Linked DNA regions of Drosophila melanogaster. The main gene of each other region encodes a partner of the protein of the gene in region 2 in a complex. Each region holds a gene or a part of one and is shown on either strand. Other genes may lie near its edges. A codon is read from its position in the direction of its gene.

The links. Proteins that work in one complex are often made in the same cells at the same time.
Region 1: the proteins of osk (region 2) and vas are in contact, whole or in part, in a crystal structure (PDB 5NT7), measured with the Drosophila melanogaster proteins. Residues at the interface, in NP_731295.1 of Drosophila melanogaster: Asp155 (codon at 5,216), Ser158 (codon at 5,207), Glu159 (codon at 5,204), Arg161 (codon at 5,198), Ala162 (codon at 5,195), Ile163 (codon at 5,192), Leu165 (codon at 5,186), Ser166 (codon at 5,183), His167 (codon at 5,180), Glu180 (codon at 4,893), Arg182 (codon at 4,887), Lys183 (codon at 4,884), Leu184 (codon at 4,881), Thr185 (codon at 4,878), Gly186 (codon at 4,875), Lys224 (codon at 4,761), Asn225 (codon at 4,758), His227 (codon at 4,752), Leu228 (codon at 4,749), Asp230 (codon at 4,743), Met231 (codon at 4,740), Val232 (codon at 4,737), Asn234 (codon at 4,731), Gln235 (codon at 4,728), Lys236 (codon at 4,725); in NP_001260458.1 of Drosophila melanogaster: Lys474, Tyr475, Arg478, Arg500, Asp503, Phe504, Ala506, Ser507, Phe508, Ser510, Glu511, Lys512, Glu513, Thr516, Thr517, Ser518, His520, Gly521, Asp522, Arg523, Leu524, Gln527, Arg528, Ala531, Met540.

What each region holds. Positions count from the first base shown.
Region 1 is NT_033779.5:15,058,037-15,064,655, reverse strand, and holds the start of vas (vasa), read right to left. Parts: upstream 3,001-6,619; 5' UTR 2,874-3,000; intron 1,726-2,873; exon of another isoform or gene 223-1,725; coding exon of another isoform or gene 1-222. Other genes in the region: vig (vasa intronic gene), read left to right, coding at 1-222; TfIIS (RNA polymerase II elongation factor), read left to right, coding at 4,158-4,223, 4,290-5,165; CG33679 (uncharacterized protein), read right to left, coding at 5,769-5,924, 5,988-6,353. UniProt on the Drosophila melanogaster protein: Involved in translational control mechanisms operating in early stages of oogenesis.
Region 2 is NT_033777.3:8,932,022-8,940,823, reverse strand, and holds osk (oskar), read right to left. Parts: upstream 5,699-8,802; 5' UTR 5,679-5,698; coding exon 5,144-5,678; intron 5,109-5,143; exon of another isoform or gene 5,025-5,108; intron 4,896-5,024; coding exon 4,478-4,895; intron 4,383-4,477; coding exon 3,618-4,382; intron 3,560-3,617; coding exon 3,457-3,559; 3' UTR 2,429-3,456; downstream 1-2,428. Other genes in the region: ScsbetaA (Succinyl-coenzyme A synthetase beta subunit, ADP-forming), read right to left, coding at 1-125, 190-342, 1,052-1,155, 1,936-2,004. UniProt on the Drosophila melanogaster protein: Organizes the germ plasm and directs localization of the posterior determinant nanos. Oskar protein is required to keep nanos (nos) RNA and staufen protein at the posterior pole.

The DNA of each region.
Region 1 (6,619 bases), on a different chromosome or scaffold from region 2:
CGTGAGGGTGGAAACCGTGGCCCACGGGATGGCCAGCAGCATAATAACGAGGGCGGCGGTTCATCCGCTCAAAATCAAAGGCCACCCATCGATCGTCGCGGTCCGGGAAACAACCAGAACAACAATCAGAACAGCGGTCCAGGGCCGAATAAGCGTTTTGAGCGACAACAGAACACCGCTCCCAAGGTCAACGATGAGCGTCAGTTTCCCACTCTGGCTTAAATCGATCGTTTTGGGCAGGAGTAGGTTCCTCAAATTGCAGTTTTGGTTACTGACGATGGTGAATGAAAGCAGCAAGTTACCAAAATGAAAACTTATAAATTACGTATATCACAGACAACAAACTTTTTAAAAACTAAAAGAAAAATGGGGAAATTACGAAAACAATTGTAGCCGCCATTATAAGCCAAAAGCAACAAAAATACCAACCAACAAGCTAAGTAAAAAAAAACGGATAATAAATTATACATATGTTTAAAGATATATGAAAAGAGAACACACGAAAAGCAATTTTAGTTTATACGTGGCCAACTAAATCAGATTTTACACGATAAAATCGCGATCAAGCAAGTGACCTCGTGTAAACTAGTCAGTGTCAGGCTAAGTTATCCTCATTATGGACTTTATATCTAGTAGCTGTTCACAATACGAGATTTGTTTCGAGATTTTTTCTAAAACGGCAGGGGCGGTCATGGAAATTGTTTTATTGCATCAACCAAAACCTGATGTGAAGTTGTTTATTTTTATGTTATTACCACTCACCTAATCAAAAAATCATCCTACCTTATAAAAACAAATTACAGTCGCTAACCAGTGATCAAGGCGAATAAAATAAACTAAAGATAAAATATATAATATTCAACATCACGGCCTGATAAATTCTTCTTTGTAAAGAAGAAAAATACACTATTACAATAGTTTGTTTTCATCGAGAGAACAGTAAAAGCATTTTCATTACTCATAAATTTTTTTGTTCAATTACGAATCAACTTTTCGTAGCGAAATGTACGCTTTATTATTTTTACTATGTTAACGTTTATTTAAAATAAAGAAAAACAAAAGGGAGAAATATAAAAATCAGTGGATCGTGAAAGAAACCCAAAACCGAAAGAATAGTAAGTGTTAAAACCTTTGTAACTGTGTTTCTTGGATGCAAATTCTATGATTAAACATTTAAATTTAATAATTAAACAGAGGACTATGCATCATATATACTACTTTTAATTATAAATACCTAACTGAACTTACACACACACACGGAAATACAAAAACAAAACAATATTAATTTAAGCATTATTAAAGAAATAAAAACAAAAAATATTGATTAACTATTGGAGCAAATTAGAAACCTTTAATAAGTAGATTATAGTTGGAGGGAAACTTTCAAAAATATCCATTTCGAGTCATATGAGAGAACCACTCCCGAAAACGCTAATTTGAAGATCCCTGTAAAATCGTTTGCCTACAATTAACTAGAAACTATGTAAATTATATGAGATATATATTCGTACATACATGGTAAAATCAATTTTATGACGGCGAAACAAACACACAAAGCAAAGAAATGATAGAGCAAATGAATATGGAGGAAAACGTAGATGAAAAAATATACGACATTTTTTGAAATATTGTATTGTATTTTGACCCAAAGAAACCATTCAACAAATGTTGAGCAACTCGTTTAAACATAAAACAAGAACATTTATTTGATAAAAATAAAGAACCAAAAAAACACTTGATGTAAGTTTGAAAATTTTGGGGCAAAAAAGAATGAAAAAGTTCATGAAAGAGCAAGATGTAATTCGAGGAGTTACAAAAGATCATAAAGCGAATGGTAAGTGGAGACGGAAAGAATTACGGAATGAAACGAAACCTAAACAAATCTAATGCAGTATTCTCAATTTTATTCACGAAAACCTACAATGAATGAATTCTTTGTTGTGCTTGTTCTTATACTTTTAACGGTAAGTTTTTAGATGGAATGCAAGTGTTACAAATTGGCAAACACATAAAACAAAGTTGCACACAAACACAAGGCGAAAGATAGAATAGACAGAACAGAAAAGCCAACAAATATGCGGAAAAGCAAAAAAAAAAAAATTGGACATAACCCAGAATGAGAAAGCCGAATAGGACAACATTTCAAAGCGTAAATCAAGAAACGCACACGAAAGAAAGATACGATGCCAATAACCAGAAAATGGGACAATTTTTACTTTCAACTTATTTTCTTTTTAAAAAAATGAATCAACTTTACACGCAAAATCTTTTTTTTATATTAGACCTTTCAAGATCCTGTTAGAATAGAACGCAAAGAGGAAACCAAATTAGGAATTCATGTTCTAGGGTTGCCAAGCTCTCTAATTGCTACAGTCAAATAAGGAGAAAAATCCGTAATAAGTACAAAAAGGTGCTTCGACAACTCTGAAACATAACCGAAAATGAACGAATGAAGTCAAAAGGAGCTTAATAAAAGTAAGTATTCGAAAATTGTAAAACGAAAATGGGTGTAACAATATGAGAAAAATCCGTTAGAAGTACAAAAAGGGGCTTCGACAACGCTGAAACATAACCGAAAATGGAAGAATGAAGTCAAAATGAGCTTAAGTATTCGAAAATTGTAAAACGAAAATGGGTGTAACATTAATATTTAAATGGGATAGTTTTTACAATAGAAGAATTAAAAATGATAAGGGGAATAATATATGTAATACGTTTTCAAATGGTTTTAATTTTGCGGATTTAAAAATTGGAAAATGAAAAACTTGTCGAGTCAATTTAGACAAGTTTTAATGAGCTTATTTTTAATGTTGCAAAATTAAATCCGATTCAAAACTAATTGCATATCACTAAGATAGTCTCTTGCTACTTACCCTGCCTTTCAAGAGCAAATTAATTCTTTTTCACTTTATGTATTACCTTACAAACTTTGATAAGTTCAGATCACTTCGCGCAACGCAAAACCGAAAAGGATCTGTTAAAAGTACCAAAAATCTAGTGGTGGAATTTCCCATTGTGCTATCGCAATTCGATATTCACAATTTCGATAATTTATATATATAGCCGTTTTCCACTAACACATCAAATGTGATTTAGCTATTAATGAAATTGTAATATTCAAGCAACCTAAGTGATTCATTCATATGTACATACTTATATGTAAAGATGGTGGTGGCATTTTTAACATGGGGAAGTTCTTATTTATTTACTTTTTCGTTTGTTATAGGTGAATTCCTCTTTATTTTTATACAATATAATTTTATTTTACGTTAAGCAACCAATTTAAGGGCTATGAAACGTAGTAACTAACAGGAGCAACGAAGATAACATGGAAACATACAAAATTTGTATAAAAATATTGATTAGATAATAGTTTGGCTTGTTTATGCCACGTGTCCAAAGATATCTTTGATGACGCCTCCTCAGTGTTCTCCTGGTTGTCTGGTATGTGCCTGATTTAATTTGTTCTCAAACTGAAGGTGGATGCTGAGGTCATGTGCGATATCAACATTTCTCGCGTACCAGGGCGCGTTGGTGATTGTTCGCAACGCTTGGTTTTGGAGCCGTTGCCCTCTCACTATGTCCCACCGCCGATTTGACCCGCAGACGTATCCCGCTTGTCCCCAACAACCGCACTTCATCATAATACATCATCTCTAGACCACACTCAAACGATTTATTTATTAAAACTAAGTGATATATAGGGAATTGTTATTGAAGGTAATTAGTATAATTCAAAAACGCCCAACACGCTGTTCTTTCATTGAAATACAGTGGAGCCCTGCTTGCAAGCAGTGCAAGTTTAAAAAACATCGCAATGCTATGTGTGTGTACTCGCTTAAAAGCCAGATGTACATTAAAATACGGTAACACTGTTGACTTCTGAAACCCAAACTACTTCCAGTTGGGAATTGTATTAGCCATGGGAAGGCATTTCTTGACAAGCCACCGCCCGGTAACACTAAAACGCGTTAGGGTGTTCTGTCAACTCGTTCTGCGAATACAGAAACGAAAAAAATAGTAAACAACATTTATTGGAGGGAAAAAAAGAAATAGCCCGGCTTCCGCATAAACAACTGTCGCAGACCCGCAGCACCGATTAAAGCCGACAGCCGACGCCAGTTAACCTAACCTCTGATCAAATTAAGTGGGCCAAAATGAGCGTGGAGGAGGAAGTGTTTCGAATCCAAAAGAAGATGAGCAAGATGGCCAGCGACGGCACAGTAAGTATCGGGATTAGCTAACGTGCCGCGCATCATGTCACAAATATACATATATCCACCGTACAGGGACAGGATCAGGCTCTGGACCTGCTGAAGGCCCTGCAAACGCTTAACATCAATCTCGACATTCTGACCAAAACGCGCATCGGCATGACCGTAAACGAGCTGCGCAAGAGTAGCAAGGACGACGAGGTGATCGCTCTGGCCAAGACGCTGATCAAGAACTGGAAACGATTCCTCGCCAGCCCGGCGCCAACCACACCGAACAACAGCTCCGCTAAGGAGGGCTCCTCCAACAACAGCAGTGCCTCGAAGTCCACCAGTGCCGCCAAGTCGTCGTCGTCAATCTCCGGCAAGGATAAGTCCAGTTCATCCAGCTCATCCAAGGATAAAGAGAAGAAAGGCTCGACATCCTCGTCACAGACCTCGTTTCCCTCCGGCGGCATGACAGATGCGGTCCGCATCAAATGCCGCGAAATGCTGGCCACCGCACTGAAGATTGGTGAAGTGCCCGAAGGATGCGGTGAGCCGGAGGAAATGGCCGCCGAACTGGAGGATGCCATTTACTCCGAGTTCAATAACACGGATATGAAGTACAAGAATCGCATTAGGTCACGCGTGGCCAATCTGAAGGACCCCAAAAATCCTGGATTGCGAGGCAACTTTATGTGCGGCGCCGTCACTGCCAAGCAGCTGGCCAAAATGACGCCGGAGGAGATGGCCAGCGATGAGATGAAGAAGCTGCGCGAGAAGTTCGTCAAGGAGGCCATCAACGATGCCCAGCTGGCCACCGTGCAGGGCACCAAGACCGATCTCCTCAAGTGCGCCAAGTGCAAGAAGCGCAACTGCACCTACAACCAGCTGCAGACTCGTTCCGCCGATGAACCTATGACCACCTTCGTCATGTGCAACGAGTGCGGCAACCGATGGAAGTTCTGCTAACTCCCAAAATTGTTCCAAAATATAAATCAATCCCAAATGAGCACACACCACACATCCTTCATATTCTTAAATGAAACATTGTAAAGACACGACACGCGAGAAAACATTTTGTATCTGCTGCCCAACTGCGGAGGCGTTTACTCTGACCACCTAAACCTTAAACGAGAGAAAAGAAATTTCAATAAACATTAACTATTGATAAAACGGAGACGTCTTGTTGCCGCAATCAGTTTTTTAAAAACGCCGGTGATAACGACCACGCTGCTGATAACTCGCCGATAACACAGCGGGGCGATAAATTGAGCATTGAGCAAAGTAAATATGAATACATTATAAATATAACTCAGAATGATCTAGCAGAGAAGTAAATAAGACGCCATATTGTGTATGTATTCTCGAAGAGTATTAACAACCGATGTAATTAGTCAGTTTTAAAGCAATTTGCATTAACGAACTTTGTATTGCATTAAGTATAGAAGTCGGAACGGGCCAGATCGGACAACTATATCATATAGCGGGCATAGGAATAATTAAAACATTAACGCAAAATAAATATGTGTTCGTTGTGTTAGATCCATTAGGTGTTCTAATGTTTTGTTCATCTTAGTCAACGTCAATTTCAAAGTGGATGTTTATGATGGAAATCCAGTTCACGACACCATCATCCATTTCGAGGGTTAACTTATAGCTACCCTTTGGTAATGGGACCTTGGCAAACATACGATCATCCAAGGTGCAGTTCCTTATGTAAATATCATCCTTAAAATATATATTTTAATATGATTTAATATGATTGTCATATTGGCGAAACTAAATACTTACATTATAGGGACATGTATGATTAATATTGGAAAAGGGCATAAAGGCGGTGTAGAAATAGTAGAAGACTCTGAGACGATTTGGATACCTTAGGACGCGACAGTGTTCCTCGGAAACATTAAATAGAAACGGATGGTATCCGTTTAGCTTCCGGTAAGTGATGAATCTCACGACCATCCTATTTATTGGCAGTTTCAGAAGCTTAACGTGTATGTTGGCTCCGATAATTCCCCTGCCAAGCACTTTTAGTCGGCATTCGGGAAAGACGACGAATGATTTGTCATAGCTTTCGCACTTGAGGTTCGTGAGGCGCACGTATCCATGGGATTCTCCAATGAAAAGTAAGCTGATCCACAAGAGGTACTTCATCAGGGCAAATAGTCTGGATGTAATGACCACTCTACGCGATGGTGGAGTACTGGTTTCCAAAAATATAATTACTGATGGGGCATAATTAGATTTTAATTACTACTTATCGCAGTTCGTATAAATAATTAGGTAATCAACAAACCGCTTCAATGAGCTAATATGACGACATGTTTAATATATTGACATAGAAAAAAGATATTTCTTGAAAAATGCAATAGCTTATGACAGATATTTTGAAATGCGCGCCGAAATTAGGCAGGTCGATA
Region 2 (8,802 bases):
CACGGCGGGGGAACTTCCTTTCGGCAACCATCACCTTTTTGCAGATGCGACCGGCTGCTCCGGTTTGCTTGGTGACCAGAAGCTGATCGATCATTTTGCTTGAAAGTTCTTCAGCGGTCTGGGGACTGCGGAGTAAGATTTGTTTTTTATGTTTTACCACACAGATATTAGACATATATCACAACTTACTCGTAGACCACTCGCACACCTCCCTTCAGGCCATTCTTAAAGGTTCCTTTGCCTCGTCCTCCGGCCAAAACCTGAGCCTTCAGCACCAGGTTATCGGTCTTCAGCTTGGTGGCGATATCGTTGGCCTCCTTGCCGTTCTTGGCAACAGCGAAACTGCAAAAAAATGAATCACTCAGTACGCGAAATAATTTTGGGGGTGCGCTCTTTACGATGTTCCTGATTGATTGTTGATAGGAACATTTCACGTAAATCGTGTTATCAGTAGACCACAAAGGTTGAAAGTTGAGACAAGGTTATTCGGTCATTCGAGAGATGACAAGCCCTCATTTAGAAAATAAATCAGTCGCCTGATTTTACCTGAATAATAGCAAAAGCAACTACTATCTTTTGATTCTAATAATCTCAATTTATCAAACGAAATGGAAATCAAAATATTCTAGCTTTGCAATTGCTTAAATTTAAATTACAGGTATTTTAAACATTAAAATATATTTTCTTTACCCAAAGTTTATGTATATTTAGTTAGTTTAATTATGATAGACGTCAACTAATGCCGCTTCCATCTTATCAAAGCCCACGTCACTGACCCTTGTCACTTTACGCCGATCAAAGTGTGTTATAGTATAAAACTTGTTATCACCCTTATCATCGGCGGCTGCGTTTCTCTGGTTTGTTTACCCCGTAGTCGGCTATACTCAATGCATATTATTAAGTTCAGGCAAAGTCCAAAACGCACATAAGCCAAAGGAAACAGACGACGCAACGACAACGCGGCACTTTCATTGAACTTTGGACTGCGACTTTGACGCAAATTGTTGGTTGTTTGCCCGCGATTTTGATAATTCCGATTGGGTTTACTCACCGAGGTGTTGGGATCTTGGCCTCATTGAGCAGACTGTAGGAAACGTGTTCCTGGACATTGAGGTTCCTCAGCTGCTGGACGGCGATGGGAGCCAGGCCAAGAATCTGAAAAGGTTGGAATTTTTGCCATGTTAATTTGCGAAAATTAGATGCTAATTAAAGATAACAAGAAAAATAATTAAAAATATATTTAAAAGGATGAAAATAAAAACGATTTCGAAACTTATTGTACTTATAAATGAAATCTTAATTCCAGTCACGAGGTCATTGTCAAGCAAAAATTAAACATAAAAAAACTGGTTCGGTGATTCATGTGAAAAAAACATAAACAAAAAGCGGCGAAAAGAAACGAAATCTGGGTTAAGAGCAAGTTCGTCCGGCTAACGGCGTTTCCCGGTGATAACCGAAACTAATTCACAGATTAAGAATTTAATTAGAGGGCCCGGCGACAACAGCAACAACAACCACAAACGATAAGCAACAGTTGTCAGCTGCTCATTGATAAAAAACAAACTAAATTAAGTGGGGGAATAAATGGGGCTTTCAAGGTCCCCACACACACACATGCGTACGAAAAGCGCACAGTTGCGTCACACTGACACAATAAAAAAGTCAGGTGTCTTTGGTGATCGTGACTCTCTTTAAATCTCACACTCTCCCCGTTTCTCTGGAGAAACAATTAGTTAACAAATGGCAAAGAACTTAAATTATCGCTTAAGTTTTTTTTTTGTACCGATAAACGATCAGCATTTCACATGTGTGAGTAAGTGAGAGACAGAGAAGGGGACAGCGTAGGTGTTCACTCTCTCTTTTCGCCTTATTATGTAAAGCGACGGATTTTCGCATTTTTTACACACAAATATGACTACTAATTGGCGAACTCACCTTTTTTATGGCCGCTGGCCTAACGGTTTCGATCAGGGGGCCGCCAGTTCGTGCCAAGAATGAAGCCATTTTGTTCTGAAATCGAATGAGAACGTACGTTTAACGATTTGAAAGCGAATTTTGACGTTACTGCTTACATTTCAAGATTTTTTTGCCGTCGCCTGCTGATGGAGGTGGTAGAGCTTCGATAGCAGGGACTTTTTTATGCTTTTACAATCGAAAATGCCGAAAAACTATCGTGAACTTAATGCAAGGTTGGAAACTGTAATATATTAGCAAAGATTCAAGCCAATTTGGCGGGAACTTTTAATATTGCATGCCATCTAAATTATTTTTCAACTACCGTTATTTTTATGATAATAATAAATTCGCAAATATAATAATATATTCACAAATGTCACAATATAATCTAGACCACTTTTAAATCGAAATTAGTTCGATTAGTTCCCAGTTACTTTGAACATAGCTTAGAGCAAACAAAATCATTGATTTCCCTTTTATTTTATTTTTTCATTTTTTTTTTGGATTTTACATTGCAGCTTGTTATAGGACAAAAAAAACGTGATCACCATCAATACATACAATTAACATACATTCAAGACAATAAATAAGTTTATAAATAGTAGATAGCTATCTAGAAGACTTTAAAGTAGAGCTGTAAATTACGCCAGAATTCTACACTGTGCTACAAACAAGCGCTTAGTGCGCACTTCCGGTTGGCGTGTCTGCAGCAGAGTGTAAGCATTTTATAAACTTTTTTGCAAACGGAAACAGAAAGACGAAAATCGCGCAAATGCTTCACTTGAATTTGCTTGAGCACATCAATAATAAATCAGCCGCGGCGTTGATTTTGTGCAAGCGAATTTTCCAAGTAAAGCAGTGCATTTTCATTACGGCCAAAATGCAGCATGGCTCATATGTATACGTACCACGCCCACTGCGCCCTTCTTTTTAAGGGCAAGTGGCAGGTTGTGTGATACAGGAGCATGCCGAATTTTGACCCACACAAAAGTATATAGAACAAAAAACAGTTTATAAGCATTGCAATGATTTGCATTTAAGTTCCATTTTGCAGTTTAATCTGATTTGGTAAAAACAGATTTCAAAGCAAAATGGTTTTGGGAAAAGCGGAAAAGTTTGAAGAGAAGTTTTCAGCTGCTTGCGCTTATTTTGCATTTGATTATTTTACACAGCTTTTGGGATAGCAGCAAAAAGTGTGCAGAAAATCAATGGCATTGGCAAAACAAATCACAGACAGCGAAAAATTGAGAAGTTTAAATCTAACATAGAACACAAAACACACAATAATATACAATAATGGACTAGGACAAGTGCACGAACATATAAATAAACAAAGACAGAGAACATACTACATATAAAACATATTAAAACTAAGCGAATTCCGTAAAAGCAGCGATCCATCAGCGTAAATCGTAAAATCATCAAAAAGTTCTTATTTTGTCGGTTCCGGTGCCAGCCCAGTCAAAATTTGCATATATGTATCTTGATTAAGAACCCAACTTAATACTCCAGACTCGTTTCAATAACTTGCAGTACGCGCTGCCGACCGATTTTGTTCCAGAACAGATAGGGTTCCTTGGAACCGGTGACTTGGCGTGGTGAGCTGAAAAGTGGCACAAATCGTAAACTCATATGATATGGTATATGGTATAAAGTCTTACGCCTGAAAGCAATCAAATCGCACCACGCCCCTTTCGTTGATTAGACAGGAGTGTATGTCGATGACCTTTAGGTGACAGCATTCGCTTCGGATAAACTTGTTGAATCGGTAGATTTTGTCACATAATACCTTATCGTGACAATAGTTGCCCAGCGGTGCAAGATTTGTTAGAATCGGCACCAATCGCATATTGTGCATCTCCTTGATCAGTAGCCGAAAATCGTGCTCGATCTGAACCAAAGGCTTGCCGCGCATAATGTCCACCGATCCGATATTGACGATGATCTGAGTACCCTCGGGTAATTGGACTCTTTTTAAACGATTTCGGGCGCCATTGATCGTCAGTCCGGATACACAAAGTCCTGACTGCAGGACGCGTTCGTGACGCCTAAATCGGCATTTTAGCTCCATTCGGGCGAGATATAGCATAAAATCATCGCCCATAAGCGGAAAGTCCAGCAGATAGGCATCGTAATCCGAGTTAATCGTCAGCAGAGAATCGTTGTAGGTTCCACTGGTTAAAATCGTTGGCGTGGGCGTCATTTCGTGGCGTCTCTTCATTATGTTCATGCCGTTAAATGGATGCACAAAGATGCCCAAATGGCGGTTTTCAGTCGGTTCGGTTTTCTGGCTTTGGGTTCTGCAGCTTGGCTGATGCCCAGGTGGAGCCAAATTGATTGGTTCCTCTGGGGCATCGGGGCTGTAGATGTTGATGGGTACTGGCATTTTTGGCGCATTTACGCTGGCTTGCTGGTAGAAATTGTTGCTAGGAGTTCAGTAGAAAGATTAGTACATTTTGTTAAGTAAAGGTTTATTTTTGCTATAGTTGCACTGTCTACAAAACACCTTTTCAGTACTCACAGATGCTTCCAATTATCCTGGTAGCACCAGTTCGACTCCGCTGCCTCATTGGCCATTTGATGCAGCGAAACCGGCCTGGTGGCGATATCCTTGGTCTTTTCATCCGTTATCTTGGGCACGGTCCTCGGGCTGGTGTTCAGCTGGGACAGAGCCCTCCGTTTGAAGGGATTCTTCCAGTAGCGTGGAGGTGCTCGTGGTATGTTCTCCAGGGACGGAGCTCCGCTGCTGTAGTCGCTGGTGCGCTCTTTCTGGTTGAGCACCATATCCAGGAGGTGACCGTTCTTCAGGCTCGCTTTCAGGTTGAAGATCCGCTTACCGGACTCGCTGCACTCAGCGGTCACATTGGGAATGGTCAGCAGGAAATCCGTCACGTTGTCGTGCAGTGGAAATGGATTGCCCGTCAGTTTTCGATATTCACCTGGCGAATTTCAATTATAGAATTATTTAAGGGTAATCTTACAAAAAAGAAACATAGAAAAAATATAAATTAAAATAAATATACTAAACTATAAAAGTTATATAATCCAAATAAAATTTAATAACCTACTAAAAATTTATACATTTTAGATTTCTAACTAAATATAGCCACTTAGAGAAAGTTCTGAAGTGTTTGATGAAGTCGAAACTTCTGGAAAGAAGAAAGCTTTCAAACATAAAGCTACTCACTCTTGATGCTCGATATCGTGATTCCATTCTGGGCGTGGCTCAGCAATATGGCGCGCACCTCACTATCTATATCGGGATATTCCTCGCGCACGGATATATAGTTGCTCTCGATGATGGTCATGTTGTTCTCGCTGGTGTTGCTGTTGCTGTTGTAGGTGATTTCCTTGGTGGAAATCTGAGTGGACGAGAAGAGTCTGGCTACGACTTGCAACTGCTGGCTGCTCTGCCGGCTGGTGAGTTCATGGGCCACCAATGGCACCTTCCACAACTCCGGCAATTCGGTTTTTCGCGCCGATTTGAAGATCTTCCGAAAGCGTTCGCCGCATGCGGAGAAATCGGACCTTACGAAGATCTGGTTGAGGCAGCTGGAGGAACTCTTGCGAAAGGAACCGGATGACTGGAGTTTATCGCGCAACTGCTGGAAACACGTGGTCACCCGCTTTTTCACGGACTTAAGATAATAGGTTTTGGCGGAAGTATTGGTGCTGGTATAACTGATCGGTTTGCTGGGGAATTCACTTGTGACTGCGGCCATCGCTTGGAGGAAAGTGATCCAATATTCTTGGATCCCTCGCCAACGCGGTCCACTTCTCCATTCATCTGCATTTTGGAGACTTACGGTGCTTTTCGTACTGGAAGGCGAAAGAGCAGGCGCAACAGAAGTAACGGTGAGCAGTTTGCAGAGATAATGTTTCCAGATCAACAGAATTTGTGAAAATACATTAGGGTGGTACAACCAAAAAATTTTGAAAAAATAAAAAACTGTTTTCAGAACCTAATATAGAACCTATATATATATATATATATTCATTTTCTTTAATTTTTTTATCAATTTGTTCCCATTCGCCCACCATTAGGTTAACATTCAAAGCAGTCTACGTAGCCAGTAAAAACAATTAAACGAAATTACCACCTGCATTGCCATTTGACGACCATTACACAAAGCAGTTTGCACTCCGTTCCAGCTGGACATTCGTTTTAATGGCCTTTCTCTTGGTCCAGATTAGAAAACAGCACGCCAGTGGGTCTGCAGAGCTGCTTGATAAGCAATTACGAAGTAGCATATACATAAATTCCAGAATAACTCAAATGGTGCCGACGAGCGTTACCACGTGCGGTGGTGCTCTGGTGGTCTGTCGGCTAATCGGCAAATGGAGCTGCTTGGCAGCAATTCCCCAGGAGATGATTATCCATCCATACAGCAAGTGCACCTGAAACTCCGAGAAGGGTAATGGAGGCACTTGCTCTGAGGGTTAGTCCAGCGATTGATGGATGACTCAGGGGCTTTCTTACATCTCGTGATGATTCCGGCACCCCGGAAGAAGCACAGACAATCGGAAGGAGGATTATGGCTTCTTAGCTTAAGCAAGTTGGATACAGTCAAACATCAGTAATGCGTACCAGCAAGAAATTACAAAAATTAAATCAGTAAAAATTTTACTTAACTAGCAGATCAGAATAATAAAAAAATAATTTTCAATAAGGTGTTGATGGGTTCAAAGGGTAATATATATAGAATGGGCAATAGTTAGTGCCACTACAACCTATCTGTAATTTAGGGAAGTACTTCCTTATAGATGTTGGACTGTATATTTTCCCTAGCCTTGCCTTAATTGCAGAGGATGCTGCAGAGACGTGACGAGCAATACAATACTATATGTATGTAGAAAAACTGGGCGAGAACATGTGGTCCAATTTATAAATCTCGACCCTTCTCCCATTTTTATTTGCTGAATGTGTAAGCCCAATAATTTAGAGTGGGATGAATCAGCCGGCTTTTCTTGCCATTCAATTTTCCCTTTTCGGGTGGTGTTTCAAATATTTTGAATGCACTCGCACAGCACAGGGCAATTGTCCGGTAATAATAGTAATTTGCATTCCAGGCCCTCTCTCATTCTCTCTACTCCCAGCTAAGAATTACAGTGGTCACTCGATTGTAAGGTAAGGAATTATACATATATTTATGGTATTTGGCAACCTTCCTTGTATTTCTATAAGCGTAATTGTAGGAAGTAACCACTGAAAAATAAATTTGTTTAATATTTTTAAAGACATTTTCCTACTCTCTTCCTTTCTAACAACTACTACCATGATTGACGACCATTTTTGATTGACAACTTTTGCATTTGCGTGTGGTGGGTGTGCATTGGAAATCGCAAAAAGCAATTTACCGCCTAGATTTGTGAACGACACTTTTCATTGGGTTCGACTGCATTTCTGCATAAATTATGGAAGCCGACGGAGCAACTTGTTGTTATTCTGTCTGCTGTCTTAGAATTTTTACCAGCAGCGAATTCATTTCGCAGAGGGCGGCTAAATGTTGGGGGATAGGCAAATTATTGTAATCAATTTATGCGAACAATTTAGCTATTGCCTCACTTTGGTGGGGCGGAGAGACACCTGTTAATCTGCTGACAGGCGGAAAATCTCAGGAATGCTGATTGCGTTGCACACGATTAACCAGAAGTTCACCCCAATGGCAACTGAATCTGATCGCCTTTCGGCGGCAGCTCCATCACTAATTTCCAGTAATTATCCTTATCCGTTTCCAGAGTCTGGCTTAACATCTGTTATTATTACTCCGCAGCAAATCGATTGATTGCCCTGCAAAAGGGCCTTAATCAGGGCGCCGCAATTCAAACACACGTAATTAGAGCCCTGCTGTAATTCTATGGATGTGGAACACACTGAAGAAAAAAACGGAAAAATAAAACGGAAAATAAATAAAATATACGGAAAGATCGTTCTAGTCAATCAATCCATTTCGATTTGTAATAGTTTGGAATGATTGGAATATGAAGTTAACTTAATTCGAGATTAAGTTCTTGGTCTACAATCAATTTTTGGACAGTGCATGGCTAACTCCTTTATGATGACCGGTTACAGGTTGGCCAACAGATTGTAAAATGGCAAAACACTCGAGATAAACGGCTAAGCATCTGGCTGAGTGTGTGGCCGGTTGGCAATTAATCAAGGCTAGGTGTCGCAGACCGTAAGACTGCTTCCGATTCCGGTTTTTGAACCCCAAGAAAGTCCTCATTATGCCCACACGATATGGTAATTTCGAAGCTGTCTTGACGGAAGGCTGCCAGTCACTTTGGATATTTATTTTCAAAAATAATGAATGCCTGCGTGCACCTTAAGTGTTTATTTTTTAAAGTTTTAAAAATGTATCTTACATTTTTTTAGAATAATACTTCATTACAATTTAAATCACATTTATTTGATTTACTGTTTATTTAAGGGTTTTAATATTTTAGCAAAGGTCAAAGGCAATGTCAATACAAACACAATTTACAAATACAAACAACGATCAGCTTGGAAACGCTTCTGTCAACGAGACGTTGCTTGCCCTGTAGAAAAGACTTTATTTAAAAAAAAGATTTAATGTTGAAGGTGTAAAATTTTAAATTCCTATTCAATAACGGATGTGCGACTTAAGTTATCGATAACTTATTGATGAACCATTTTGTTGTTACTCGCTAGTAATGGCGATTCGTTAGCAGTTAAGAGCTTAAAGGCTAGAACGAAATCCAAATAGACAGACGAAGTGAATTTATTAATGGCCCATCCAAGGACGACAAAAAAATATTCAACAACAGATATAAAAAATAAAAACAAAACACATCACCAAACCTTAACCAAACATAGGTCAGTTT